2 linked regions of the Lepisosteus oculatus genome follow. The protein of the gene in region 2 purifies or fractionates together with the protein of the main gene of each other region. This does not show direct contact. Links are inferred from orthologs where the notes say so. Each region holds a gene or a part of one and is shown on either strand. Other genes may lie near its edges.

The links.
Region 1: the proteins of cdk5rap3 (region 2) and pip4p2 purify together in Homo sapiens (affinity purification with mass spectrometry; 3 studies listed by BioGRID and IntAct, counting the BioPlex papers as one, with this or other methods). This does not show direct contact. The link is inferred for Lepisosteus oculatus from reciprocal best matches to the Homo sapiens genes CDK5RAP3 and PIP4P2.

The regions. Positions count from the first base shown.
Region 1 is NC_090705.1:6,916,976-6,923,801, forward strand, and holds the start of pip4p2 (type 2 phosphatidylinositol 4,5-bisphosphate 4-phosphatase), read right to left. Parts: upstream 3,017-6,826; 5' UTR 2,856-3,016; coding exon 2,750-2,855; intron 1-2,749. Other genes in the region: deubiquitinase OTUD6B, read left to right, coding at 4,845-4,914, 5,294-5,445, 5,968-6,066, 6,378-6,690. UniProt on the Homo sapiens protein: Catalyzes the hydrolysis of phosphatidylinositol-4,5-bisphosphate (PtdIns-4,5-P2) to phosphatidylinositol-4-phosphate (PtdIns-4-P).
Region 2 is NC_090723.1:8,876,962-8,884,973, reverse strand, and holds the start of cdk5rap3 (CDK5 regulatory subunit-associated protein 3), read right to left. Parts: upstream 3,017-8,012; 5' UTR 2,904-3,016; coding exon 2,898-2,903; intron 2,436-2,897; coding exon 2,390-2,435; intron 1,175-2,389; coding exon 1,043-1,174; intron 539-1,042; coding exon 438-538; intron 1-437. UniProt on the Homo sapiens protein: Substrate adapter of E3 ligase complexes mediating ufmylation, the covalent attachment of the ubiquitin-like modifier UFM1 to substrate proteins, and which is involved in various processes, such as ribosome recycling and reticulophagy (also called ER-phagy).

The DNA.
Region 1 (6,826 bases), on a different chromosome or scaffold from region 2:
GCGCAGCTTTTGAAAGCTGGCATTTTGTCCTACCAACCCGTCGATGTTTTCAGTCTACTGCTGCAGAGGTGAGCCATGGCACATTTCACAAATGAAACATTCTGTGAAAACACAGGTCTTACTGAGTGGCAAGTGTGATACAGATCTGTAAAAGCCCATCTACTCAGTTAAAGAAGACATTATCCTATTCCTTTCATTTACACCAGAGCTAGTCAGAGTCAGTAAGCCTGTATTTATGTTGACCTGTCGGGTCTGTTCAGTTCCCAAGCACCTCACGTTTGGAGCAGCACTGGCACTGTATATTAAAGCTCTGGAGAAGATTCCCCAATTCCCCAAGAACTACCAAAAAAAACAATGACAAATAAAGTAAAAACAGGGGCTTTCAACTGGAAAGAGGATAAGTCTGATATGTTGGTTATTCATTCTTTAACTATGAATGTTACAGCATATTTTTCCAAATTTCACAGTTTTAAAAACATGCGATTCATTCCCCCTGCTTGAGAAAATATACCAAAATTCAATATGAAATATCTTAAACTGTAATTAATAAGGGTACATTTAATAAACAAGAAATAATACAGCAAGCATATTGTCCTTTCTTTAAGATACTATTTATGTGCAATTTTTCATGATGGGAATTTCTATATCAAGCACTGGTTTCCCCTGCAAATACGCATTTAAACGTATTTTTACATTAACATTGAAGCCCAGTTACATGGGATACTCTGTGCCTCCGCTATCAGCTCGATAAAGTGCACCCAGGGAGCACAGCAAAGCATGATCTCTTTCAAAAAAAAACATTTTAAGCATTACCAAAATGTTTGTGCTGTGTTTCTTATCCTCCATTGAATTATATTTTTAAAGTATTATTATTTGGTTTTACAAAAACCCCAACTTACGTTATGAAACAATGATAATCCAAGGAATGTGAGGAACTCACTGGCACAATTCAACAAGCCAAGTGTATAACAGTAACCACATGACTTGAACGCCCCCCACTCTCATCTTGCCTTTACACTCTCTTTTACAGCTGATAGCATTAATCTCGCATTTTTCAGCCCAAAACTGTACATACAGTAAGAGGGGATCCAACTCTAAGCATCTTAAGCACTTATGCACACAATAACAACAGACAATGTGCCTCACAAATTCAGGCTTCATAGGAGTGTGGCTAAACGAAAGCCATTGCTGGAAAGAAAACACATCAAATCTCAATAACAGTTTGCCAGAAGTCACGTGAAAGTCTCAGAGACGAGGTGAAAAAGGAATCGAAGGTCTGGTAAGACTAAAGTTGACCTTACTGCCCTCAACACTAAGCACAGTTTGGTGTAAGCACAACACCACACGTTATCCCTACAGTGAAGCATGGTGGTGCTGGCGTCATGCTAGGAGGATTCTCCCGGGCATCGTGGCCTGGAAGACTTGTGAAGACAGAAGGCAAGATGGATGCAGAGGAAGCCTGGAGGAGAATCTGCTGCAGCCTGCCAGACGCCATGGACTTGGGAGAAGATTCATCTTGCAGAATAACAATGACCCTAAGCCAGACTGGAGTGGTTCAAAGCAAAAAGCCAAAGCTCTGGAGTGGTCCAGTCAAAGCCTTTGAATCTTTAATCGGGAATGTGTGGCAGGAATTGGAAATGGCTGCTCACCAACAGTCCCCATCCATCTCAAGGGGGGGTTTGAGCAGTTTTGCAAAGCACAACGATCACCAACTGCAGTGTCCAGATGGGCAAAGCTGGTAGAGACACTTATCCAAGAAGACTCGGGGTGGTAATTTGTGCCTCTACCAAATATTCACTCAAGGGTCATAAGTACTTACACAATTAGCCCTTTTGTGTTTTATATTAATGACAAATGTAGGACAAACTGTGGAATTTTGTTTCACTTTGACATTACAGAGTGTTTTGTGTTGAACCACTGCAACAAATCCCAATTAAATACAATATGATTCCATGTTGTAACAGAATAAAATGTGAAAGGGTCTAAGAGAAATGAATGGTTTTGACAGCCACTTTGTTGGCACATTTGGGAATTCAATGTTTTCTTAATCCAGCTCATTTACAGCACTGAAGCTACTGGGGTATTCTCGGGATGCTAATGTCAAAACTTCATGAAAGGCAAATATGAAATCATAACCCATCTGTACCCGAAGGAAAAATAAATCATTTCTGAAATTAAATGATACTGCTTCAAGAAAATGAAAGATCTTATTGAACTATCATGGGAAATGAAGGTGAGGCCCTGAATAGGTCTGGGCAAAAGTAAAAGCAGCATTTCTATCCTGCTGTGTCAAAGAACAGCACCGCCAGCACAGGAATCCCAGTGCTGGAGCTGGAAGGCACAACACAATAGAATTGTGCCCTTAGCAAGGATAAAACAGGCCCTCACGGTGTAATGATTACCGATCACTCCGGCACGTCCAGCAACAACATTGATTCTGGTTGATAAACAAATCATGACTGTGCTATTTCTAACGTGAAGGGACACAATTTTCACATTAGACTCCGGCTTTTGTGGCTTTTAAGACATATATACGTCTATAGGCCCCCCCATACAAGGGACTAGAGCTAATTCCATTACTGAGCTCCGCTTCCAGCTCCACCTTTTTTCATGTGAACCGGTCGGGTTATCCGCAGATGCCCTTGCCCGTTACAATTTCTTCGTTTTGTCTCCAAACGCCAACAACTCCGCACCACACACCCCAGTGAAAACACGAACGCCACGGGCGAACGCACGGCGCCGGCTTTACCTCTCGGGCTGGCGTCCTGCAGATACGGCGGCGCTGTAGGTGTGACATTACCGGAGTCTGGCAATGACAGCAAGGGAGACCGCTCATCCACCGTCTCCGAGGCCATGTCTGCAAGCGGTATCGCCTGACAGCCGCAGAGTTACAACAACAGCGCCCGTAGGTTTTCCTCCGCTTCTCTGGAAGCGGACCAATGCGTCATGAACAGCACAGACCCAGCAAGGGCAGCTGTTTGGAGGCGGGGCCAAGGGGCGGGGGGGCGGCCGGGGATAAGCCAGGGAAACGTGGGAATGAGCACGGGAATCCTGCGCTAGTGTAACGCAACGCTCCTGTCCGGGACTTCTCCCAGCCCAATCGCAGTCTTCGCAGATGACTTGGGCTCAGATGATGCGTCGTGTCGTGACGTGATGCAACAGCGCAGAACGGCTTTCTCGGCGGAGCCCGAAGAATTGTGAATAAACAAAAAGGATGGAATTAAAAAACGGGAGTGGTTACAGTTAATTTCTGTTAGAATGTGTATATATATAAAGAATATCTATGTAATATCTACAGTGTACAGGACGCTTATAATAAATCAGCATCGGTCAACAGAGAGCGTTAAACAGGCAGTGGTTGTATATAGTGGGACCTCTGTACAGGACTACTGAAAGACAGGAGACGTTAGTAAAACAGAAAAAAACGGGGTTGTTCATTAAAAAAACGTACCCCTTGACAAGGACCTTAAACTCTCAAGGAAATTAAACTCTCGTGTTTTATATGTACAGTATGTTTGTATAGAATTGCTGCTTCTTGTTCTCTTTCATCTTTAATCTCACCATTACATTGATCACATGTCTTATATCCAGTCCCGCTCTCCATCCCAGCAAAAAAAAGTTTTAGGGGTTTTAATGTATTATTTGGTTATCTGAAGTGTACAGCTGTACGACTTCGATAGCCTTGGAATAAAAGTTCGAATCAGGTTCCGTATTTTATTAAGTTTTTGAGGGGAGGGGAACAGAATGATATAAATACAATTAAAATAAAATAGTAGAATGTTGTTATAAAGACCCTATAGGATCACGTTTAGCCTTAAACATCTGGAAAAGTTGCAACCAGCACATTCCCACCTCCAGCCTCCAGCAGCAGGAAATACGTCACGGACCCCCGTGCAGCGTGGTTGGACCCGGTCTCGTGGTAGTCATATGACGAAGCGCGTTCGGAATCAAGAGCGGCCTGTGTCTTCTCAAACGCAGACGTCACACAGCGAGACAGAACAAAATGCCTTTCCAAGCGGATTCCGCAAAGATACTGTAAATGCAAAACCCAGTTGTCTCCGCGTTCAGCATATGACGATTTTTAGTTTGCAATGTCCCCCCCCCAGTGAGATGTATTAGAAATAGACACGTCCTGCACAAGAGTTTGGTTCCCTTTGCGCATCATTATCTCCATCTGAAATAAAGTTGTCATTTGAAAATACCTTTTAATTCCTCTTTATAAAGTGTATGGTTAAGCAGTAATTGGAGGAATACAGCCTGAGTTCTGAGTTTATTTTATTCGATTTCTATTGCACTGTTATGTATTATTATGTAAAATTAATTTTGTAACTTTAATTTTGTGATTTCTATCCACCCGGTGTGCTCGCAGGAAAGACATTCCATTGCCAGCAACTACTGCTGCACGCTGTGCTGTTGTGTATTTGATAATAAACTTTGAATGATTGGTTGATTGAATTGATTGAGTCTAAGCAAGCAGCCAGAAGAGTTACATGGCGAAATTAGAAATGGTAATTTAGAATAGGGGTTCCTCGGGAACAGAAGAGAGAAACACCCTGGGCTGCACACTTGTCCACTAACCTCGTTTTCCCTTTTAGTCTTGCTTTAAAGACCTGACGATCTCAAGCCACTAGATAACCTGTTGTTGACACTACAGTACCCATAAATCTCTGCGACAGACGCTACGTCACGCACTACCCATTTTTATTGGCTAATGTGTCCCATGTGATTACATCTTTAAGCCAATAGTTTTGCGAGAGGAGAGGTGAAAGTGGAAAGAAGCTAGCAGCATGGTGTTGATTAGCAAACTTGTGATCTGATTATTAATTAAAAACCCAAAAGGAAATATGGAAGAAGTGGAAAAAGCAGAAGAGCTTATTAGTAAGCAGCATCGGAAAGAGAAGAAAGATTTACAAGGTGAATTAGTGAGTTGTTTTGTGCAGAGCTTAATCTGAATATCTTTAAATAGAATCAGTTTTAGCTTTCTTGCATGGTAAGGCTTTGGTTTGTGGTAGGATTCATGTAAGAACTGTAAACCGGGGCTTGCTTATAGCTTCGAAAACATTGTGAGTCATTATATATGAGAATTGTTTTGCCTCAAGAGTAATTTTAATCGTTTTTTTTGTGTTATGAACACTGTCGCCAACACAGTTTTAAAACGTAGACTGTTCCATTACCTTTAATTATAATAAAAGAGTTATGCGATTTAGTGGGCGTTAATTTTGAATTGAATTAATTTGATCGCTTTTTGTTATGACTTCAGTCTTCATGGTAAAGTGTGCCTCTTTTTACACAGCTAAGATCCAGAGTATGAAGAACGCTGTGCCCAAGAATGACAAAAAGAGGAGAAAACAGCTTACTGAAGAAATCGCAAAGCTGGAAGCTGAGCTGACACAAAAACACGAAGAAGAGCTGAAACAGCTGAAGGATACTGTGGCTACAGACACGGTAGGTACATCCCTACAAACGAGTTACTATCGATTCAATTTTTACTTAGGTCGCCTGTAGCTTTCTGTTTTTACACTTTTTTACACACAGTTTTACAGAAAGCTGTCAAAGAGTATAATGTATGAATCAGTGTGTTTGACTTTGCATTACCATGTTATCCTTGTCGTGGATAAATCTGTATGATTCTGTAAAATATCACAAACTTAACATGTAGTCATTTATCTGCAGCATTGTGCATTACTTTTAATTATTTTTTAATTATTGCTTATGTTGTATGTATATTATTGCTGGTTGACTATACCCGTTTAAACACTGTTTTGTGTAGTTTATAGTACCTTATGTTGTTCATTTGTGTCTTGGACTGTAGTATGAAGTGATGCAAAACGTGCACAATGCAGCAAAAAACCAGAATTTCTCTGTGTGTGTGTGAATTTGGTAAGGTTCTGGTTGCATTCGGAATTCCATATGGTCAAGAGTTTATTTCAGTAAATTATTCTGTATTAAATTGTTTGTGTTTTTCAGGAAGACGTGGCTGCTAATGGACTAGAAAACCTGGTCTTAGACAGTGAAGAGCAAAAAGATGTTAAGCAAACTCGAGTTTCCAAAGCCCAGAAGAGAAGGGTGAGAACAGGTGCTTTGTTTCCGAGATGAGGGGTTGTGCCCAACATCAGAAGTATTTCAATTTAAATATGGAAACGTTTGTCATCAGTGTCAAGCAATTTCTGCGAGCACAGGCAAATCCTGTAAAGGACTGGGTATCATAAAGTGTTTTTTTTCTTCATTTGTAAATGTCTACAATTTGTCTAGTTTTGTGGTTTTCCTTCATAAGAGCAGAAGAAGGGTTAGAAACGAGAGAAGTTCTTTGGGGTCATTTCATTAAGGCTGTTGTCTTGGTAGTTAGAAATAGCTGTAATGGCCTTCAATCTCTCCAGGACAAGAAGGCAGCTTTGGAAAAGGAGCGGGAGACCAGAATTGCAGAAGCTGAAATTGAGAACCTCTCAGGATCCCGACACCTGGAGCAGCAGAAGCTTTCCAAGATGCTGGCCGAAAGGCAGCTGCAAATCAAGCACATCCCCTCTGACGGGCACTGCATGTACCGGGCAGTGGAGGACCAGCTGCAGGAGAGAGGCGGCTCCTACAGCCTGGAGCAGCTCCGAGGTCGCACTGCTCAATACATGCGAAGTCACATCGATGACTTCCTGCCTTTCCTAACCAACCCGAACACAGGCGACATATACACACCAGGTAGGGCTGTCCAGGTGGTGACCAGTCAAATCCTGGAAACATCTCTGCCATTTTGTAGACGCAGTTTTAGTTTTTGTATAATATTTTAGATGTTTGACATTTAATGAAAGTGTGAATGTTCAATGGATTGCATGAT
Region 2 (8,012 bases):
TTACACCCCTACTCTTTTAGAGAAACGCCCTGGGATTTTTAATGACCACAGAGAGTCAGGACCTCGGTTTTATGTCTCATCCGAAGGACGGCGCCTGTTTACAGTATAGTGTCCCCGTCACTATGCTGCGGCATTAGGACCCACATGGACCTCAGGGTGAGCACCTCCTGCTGGCCCCATTAACACCTCTTCCAGCAGCAACCTTAGTTTTTCCCAGGAGGTCTCCCATCCCGGTACTGACCAGGCTCACACCTGCTTAGCTTCAGTGGGCTGCCAGCTGGGAGTTGCAGAGTGATATGGCTGCTGGCCATATCACCAGAAAAGAATTTGCCCGGCATCCACCCAGAGCATGTGTCTACTGTTAGCCAACGGAAAGCAGGGAAATCCTGCACCGTGTTACAAAAGCCCATTCCACCAGGACGAGCTCTTTTCCTCACCTTCATCCTCTGAGACGAGTATCTCCCAAATATGTTCTTTGAAGATGCCTCTGTGTCCTTCAGGATCTCCACTATTCTCTGGCAGTGGAAATAGTGGATGTCTGGAACCAGACGGAGAAAAGACATTGTGGGTGACTCTCTGGCCAAGTAACGGTTCTGTGACCCGGCACAGTGGTTTGGGCACGCGCCAGCTGTGGAAACTAGAGACACAAAGTCTCTCCATCGCAGGGAGGTTCCCACAGCACTGTGACCCCCGAGACGTTCCAGGAACGCAGGGGTGGGGTCAGAGCGTGTGTACACTGCCTCAATCCCCACATGAGCGGCTGCCAGGTGAGAGCAGAGCCACACAAACTAGGTGGCCACACGAGGAGGAGGAGGAGCTAATAATTAATTAATAATAACCCACACAAGCTATACAGTCAATCAGAATAGTATTTTCCTTTTTCTGCACAGTATTATTCTGTTCTCCAACAGGACAGTACGAAGTGACAGATTTAAATATGCAGGTACTGTACACATAAGCACTCGCTGCTGGCGGAGATACGTGTCAGTTTCCCTTGTTCATGGTGCTCGAGGTCCGGGAGGGCACACGGGCCATCACTCACAGGAGCCGGACAGCAGCTCCCGCAGCTCCTCGCTCTCCGGCATGTCCTGCACGGCGGTGGTTATCTTCTCCCGGATGCTCTGCACTGCGGCCTGCCACTTCAGACTGCAGTGTCGCCGGTCCACCAGCCAGTCTGCCAGGACACACACACACACAGCGGCTGAAGACAGGTCTTGAGCTTATAATAATAATAATAATAATTATTGCTTGCACTTATATAGCGCTTTTCTGGACACTCCACTCAAAGCGCTTTACAGGTAATGGGGATCCCCTCCACCACCCCCAGTGTGCAGCCCCACCTGGATGATGCGACGGCAGCCATAGTGCGCCAGAACGCTCCCCACACATCAGCTCTCAGTGGGGAGGAGAGCAGAGTAATGAAGCCAATTCATAGAGGGGGATTATTAGGAGGACATGATTAGTAAGGGCCAATTGGAAATTTGGCCAGGACACCGGGGTTACACCCCTACTCTTTTCGAGAAGCGCCCTGGGATTTTTAATGACCACAGAGAGTCAGGACCTCGGTTTTACGTCTCATCCGAAGGACGGCGCCTGTTTACAGTATAGTGTCCCCCTCACTATACTGGGGCATTAGGACCCACATGGACCGCAGGGTGAGCGCCCCCTGCTGGCCCCACTAACACCTCTTCTAGCAGCAACCTTAGTTTTTCCCAGGAGTCTCCCATCCAGGTACTGACCAGGCTAAACCCTGCTGGGCTTCAGTGGGCTGCCAGTTGTGAGTTGCAGGGTGATATGGCTGCTGGCTTAGGCCTCGCCCGCCCTCCTCGGACTCTGTCTGCCCTCCCCAAACATCACCGTCCCACCAGGATGAATTTTAAATCAAACATGCTTAAAACCGACCTAAACTGTAGAATAACAATGCACTTAATTAAATAGTAACACTTAATTAAATCCTGTTCTGAGAAAGTTTATGGAGAACTAAACTTGTTCTGGTAAACCTGTATAGTTCTTTCATATCACATGTTATAATTAGAGAGACAGAAATAAAACACCCTTTGCATAGCCCCCTAAACCATTTCAGGCTCATAAATTCCAGTTGTTAAATGTTTTATCCCTATGACCCTATTGCAGATAAAATGGGCAAACAGAGACATTTAAAAACACAATGTCTGTTTCCTTATTACAATCTGTAGAGGGGCCTGATGGTTGTACTGATAAAAGCACTGGCCAGTGGCTAATGTGTCTCCCAAACACTGCTGATGTACACCCTAGTTCTACAGTTTATCTTCTATTTCTGAAAGATATGAACTTGCCCAATCAGAATCCAAGAGAACTCTCACAGTCAACACATCACTAACAAGAGCCTGGACTGTCCCGGAATAATTACCTAGGAGCTTGCTGGTCTGGATGTCAATAGGAAGCTTCTGATAGTCCTGTAAAAAAGATTAAAAACTTACTTTTCGAAGGTAAAACAAGCCTTAAAACACAGTCTGGACATCAGTATCCTTGCGTGTCAGTTATAGTCACACAAGGACCATAACGTCCAGTAACAGACTCTCCTGTGTTAATAAACGATAGCAGATATGTTGAAATCAAGCTCAACAACAGTGTAATGATTACAACTTAACCACATGCAGTTTCATTATTGTAAAAGGCCCGTGCGGATTTGAGTTAACAACTATAATCCCTGACCCAGTAGGTTATTAAAAAAGTGTTGTTCTCAGCTCCTCGTTACATTTTTATCGCTTTCAGTTAAAAAAAACATCAGCTTTAAAGACAATTTCATAACAGATAACTGTATTGCTTAAATTCTTAATGTATACATATGCCTCGCGTATCTATATTATTTAGTTTCTGACGAATTAACAATTACAGATCCCAAACTCTTAAAATACCTCCATTGTACTTTATGTAGCTTCTTTTTTAAATTAAAATCAGCATTTGAACTGGTTATTTCTCTTCAAGCTGACTGACAGACGCCCAGAACAGCCATGTATTTACACCGACATTGACACGTCACCCCATGTGGAACTATAGACCAATCAGAGCGCTGGAGCGACCCTTTCTAACCAATGAGAGAAGATTCCGCCCCTGAACTTCCGTCGAGGAGTAGCCAATCAAATAGCCCATGGTCTTAAAACGGACATGGAAACCAACCAATGATTTTGTAGAATGACCAAAGTGTAGGATCAGTGCTGGTGATGGCTTATAGCTACAGGAGTAATTTCGATATTTATCCAATAGGTGGCAGTGCATTCCATTAAACTCTGTTGTAAATTCAGTATATTGTCCAGGTTTTGTACCACTAGAGGGAACCATCACCGTCGTGGTCAAAAGGATATGAATGAAATAGCAATATCTCGTAAAAAGAAGACACCAGCTGCTGAGACTAGGCTGTTTTTCCTTATTTTTACCTTTTGTTATCACTTTTATTTGAAATTTAATTTTAATTTTATTATTTCTGTAACGCATATGGCCGGCGTTGCAGGTTGCTTTGTTGAAATGATTTTTTATTAAACGTATAAAGAATGTACAAATACAACTACAACCAGAGGATCAGAAACAGGTACAAGAGAAAAAAACACAAACAGAAAAAAACATTTAACCGCCAGAGGTAATGAAGTAGATAATGGGATCAAATTGTATTTTTTTATATATATTTTTTCCTTGCTTTATTATTTCTCATTTTTTAAATAGAATTTAAATAGTTTCAACTCCACCTCAAAAGTACAAAAAAGGGGAGTATTATTAGACCATTTTGATTTATGAATGTGAAACTTACCCAGAATGGCTAATAAATTTACTCTAAATAAATGCTCTTTTTCCGAATTGTACAATATTTGTACAATACAGCAGTACAATAAAATATCAATATTCTTAAATAAAAAAAACACCTTTAACTGCCTGCAAACCCAGTACAGGTTGTGCGAGCCGGCTTCCCAGCGCGGCGACATCACCGCCCTTCTCTGTGAATAGCAGGGACCATAGCTGTCGGGCTGACGGGAGATCGATTCGCCTTTGGCTCAACCGGCTGGGTCCATGGGGAGTGACACCAGAGGCCCGGGTTCGAGTTGGGGGACCGACCTGAAGCGGTAGCAGGTAGGGGCGCATACCCACGTGAACCTGAGAGCGCTACATTTCACTATTATTATGTTATTCAATCGTTTCATGTAAAATAAGCCCCTCGTTAAAAACGAACAGTCAGACAGCTCCTCAGTGTTCACTTGAAGTGTTGTGAACTTTTAGTCGGGTAAATCTGTGTGGTATCTTTCCAAGACCCTAGCAAAGTTCACAGTTAGGAGTGGGGGTGAATCCTCTTTCTTGAGAATGATTGTCACATTAAAAGTGGCAACAAACACGTGTGTTAAACACATTTGACACACTGAATGGCCTCGTCTCTAGTGTTATGTTGGGTAACTGTGGGGCTGGAGCTCTGAGCCGAACTTCTTCCGCAGACAGCCCGCACGGTGTCCTGTGAGCTTTTCCCAGGCTCTATCGACCCACAGCTCATGCTGAGAGCAGCGGTGGGCACAGACACCGTGCAGCAAAACGCTGAGGGCTGAAGGACGTGGCAAGGCAGGGGAGAACTGAGGTGAAGCGCTGAAGAAAACAGAACTAGAGCTCCACAGCACGTGGGAGGAAAGGAAAGCTATATGGAAGTGCATTTAAAACCAAGATGTGCTTTACACAAAGGGTGGTGGGAGTGTGGAACAAGCCACTGGTTCCATACTGTTGAATCCAACAACCTGGGTTCCCAGGAGAAATCCTGGGATCAAGTGAGCTACAAGGAACCCATCGTGCTAGAAGGACAGAACTGCCCCCTGTTGTCTGTGATCTTTCCTATTGTTTTTGTGTTCCGGATCCAGAGGGAACAGGATAAGGAATACTAGGAAGGGCGATAAAAGGTGAGCAATGCAGTAGCACTGGACACAGTGTGAATCAGATTTTGTGCCTGAAAGGGGACGTGATCGGACAAAACAAAAGGCAGATCCTCCCTGTGTCATGTGTAAACACTGCAGCACATAGAACTGAGCCCCACCCAGGGTTTCGAGTGAACCCAGAAAAAGCAGGTGCCTTAACACGGGCGTCCATTTGCTTTGTCTGTGCGTATCACTGTAGCAGGGGTCCGAAACACTGGTCCTCCAGGGTCACGATCAGGCCAGCTTTCCGGGTGTCTGTAGATCACCACTCGCTTCAAACCTGTTGCAGACGGGTTCTATTAGTCCAAAGCAATGGCGTGTAACTGCTCGCATCCTCGCAAAACAACGCGCTGTGTTGTGATCCTGCCGATATCGGACATTGCCTTTGGTCAACTTGGAGTTTCGCTCCCACTCCTTGCAAACAGGCGTGTTGCCTTTCACTTGTTTTGTTTTTTTAGCCCCAGTCTCTGTTGCACAAAAGGAAATATTGGTTTTACAGGTTTTTTATGTGCAGTATTTACAGTACGCCTTATCTCCCGTGTCCGCTCTCCCTGTGAGGACTTTGATTAGACTGCACGGCGGGGAGGTACGGCTCTTTATAAGCGGTGCTCCTCTGGCGCCACTTGCTGTGCAGGCCTCTGCCTCCAGAACGGTATCGCTGTGTAAACTGTGCTGGGCCCAGCCTGGAGGCTCGGAAACGGAAGGGTCCAACTCAAAACACGGGGAAATAAAATGGAAATCGAACCCCCCCACCCCCCAAAAAAAATATTTTTTTCGCAGAGGAAATGTCATTTTTAAAGATGAGTGCTAGTCTGGGAAATCAGTGGCGACCTGCGGTTTCATTCTGTGCCGAAGTAAAGTTATGACATCTAATCTTTACTGTGACATTGATTTTTTTGTTCATTTGAAGTGAAATTACAAAGGGGTCACCAGGGATACTAATATATAAGGTTTCTGCTGCTGCACAATGTGATCATGATAACAGTAACCCCTGCACACAAAGAAGCAGCCCAGTCACCAGGCTTGTGTCATTAACCACTCTTCCAGGCTTAATGTGCTATAACACTGCTGGACAGCACTAGCACTCCCGGAACCAAGGCAATATTTCCATTATCTCATCATCGCTATCCTGTTTAGGGGCTGTTGTCCATTCACCTTTCTTTCAACAGGCCCACCTTAATGGCTTTGAAGTCTTAACGTTGGTGACCACTGCCTGAGAGTACAGCAGCAGTGTACCAGCAGGGATGTGAACCTGCAATCCTCTAGTTACAAGCCCAGAAGCCTTAAGTGTGACCGCACACTGCTGTGCCCTGAACCTGCTCCAATTCCACGTGTGCATTGCTGAGCGGACTGGTCCCATTGTGCTGCTCATCAGGGAGAGCATCCGCTGAGGAAAGGAAAATCAGAACAGTGCTCTGCACCCCCTTTTCTCCATGAAATGATCATTCCCGAAGTGATGCACCCCTCTCCCTCCAAAAGCTGCTCCACCATAGTGAAAAAGCCCAGATCACAGTAAATTACAATAAGGCAAAGCAGAAGCCCCATTACATTTCCTTTCTGGGTCATCTAGAGTCTTTCTTTGCTCAAAATGCTTGCAGTTACAGGCAAGGCAGCTGCAGGGTGCAGGATCTTCATAAGGGGGCAGATCACTACAGCAGTGTGTGTTAGTGAAGAGGGGGACAAACGGGATTATTTACTTACTCCTGGTCTCTCGGCTCCCCACGGGTTTCAGGCAAAGCACGAGTACCCCCACCCCACGCCTGTGTGGACCGGCACTGCCTGAATCGCGCAGCAGTCCAGCTCTGGTCCAGCAGTCTCAGCTCTGGACTGTTAGGGAGCAGGGAAACCCCTTTTCTAGTCACTTTCTCTGGAGGCCTCCTGGATTTGTTGGAAAAACAGCAGAACAAAAAGGCCGAAGTTGCCAAGGCGTCAATTCCACAGCACAGAATGCGTCATTTTTCTCTCTAAAAACTCTCAGTGCTAAAGATCGTTGACAGGCGACCTGTTCTCTGCCTGTCCCACTGGCTCAAGAGCAGAGTAGGGGGCATTTCCACCAGACACAGCTGTGTGATCAGAGACCCACGGCCACACCTCCGTAATGAATGTGAAGAGCAGAGGGATCCTGGGATATGTGAGATTTTCAGATATTGGCAATATACTCAGCGCTGTCCCAGAGATTAACCAAGAGGGTCTGGAGAAAGCCATGGATAAGCAGGGCTCAGAGTGCAAGGGAAAAGGGTTAAATTAAGTACAATAATTAGTTCAAAGAGATGAAGTATGAATACCGATTAAGATGGGGGAGACATCTTTGGTCTTCAGGCAGAGGAAATTGCAAGTTGTCTCGATCCAGCTGCTGACAATCCTGCAAGATGTCCACAAAAGTCAATGTAAGTCACTCCCTCCAGCCAAGACAATCAGGTGAGGCATCAGAGAGCCTCTGTGGAAATTATGGGATGCCGTCCAGAGCCCACGTCCAAGGTTGGCAAAGACGCAGGGCTGGTGTCAGGACTCCTGACGTGTGTGTGCAAGATCCCTCAGGATGAGAGGAGATTCTGGGCTGTGGTGATAATCCAGCCAGCAGGCTCAGTGGTCTCCTCTCATTCGTGACCTTTCTTACTGTTCTCTTGTTCTGAATTAATAGCTCAACCGGATTAAATTCCCAAAGGGCCTCTGGCCCAAGGACCCTGGAGCACAACACCCCTGGATCAGCCGACTTGTAACCCAGCTCCCATGAAAAGGTCAGATCCATCTGCACGGATTTGCATGTGCAGAGCAGGTCACAAGCACCTCGTATGGCAAATCTCTCCCTGCCTCCCAGGCCCTATCAATTCGATTCAAATTATGGAAATTTCCCTTTTGTGAAAAACCCCAATGCCTGCAGCCCGTCATTAGCAGAGGGAAACGATTTGTCCGCTGTGAAACTGAGAACTTTAGCGGAAGTCATTAGATAGACCTTTAACTTTCTGGAGGCCGTGAGTCAGTTACAAATTGAAAAGGTGCCTGGGAGACAGAGGGTTGCCTTCAGTCTGGGCATTAACATTCCAGGCGCCATTTGTGTCGGATTCCATCGCGGTAAACATCTGTGCGCTG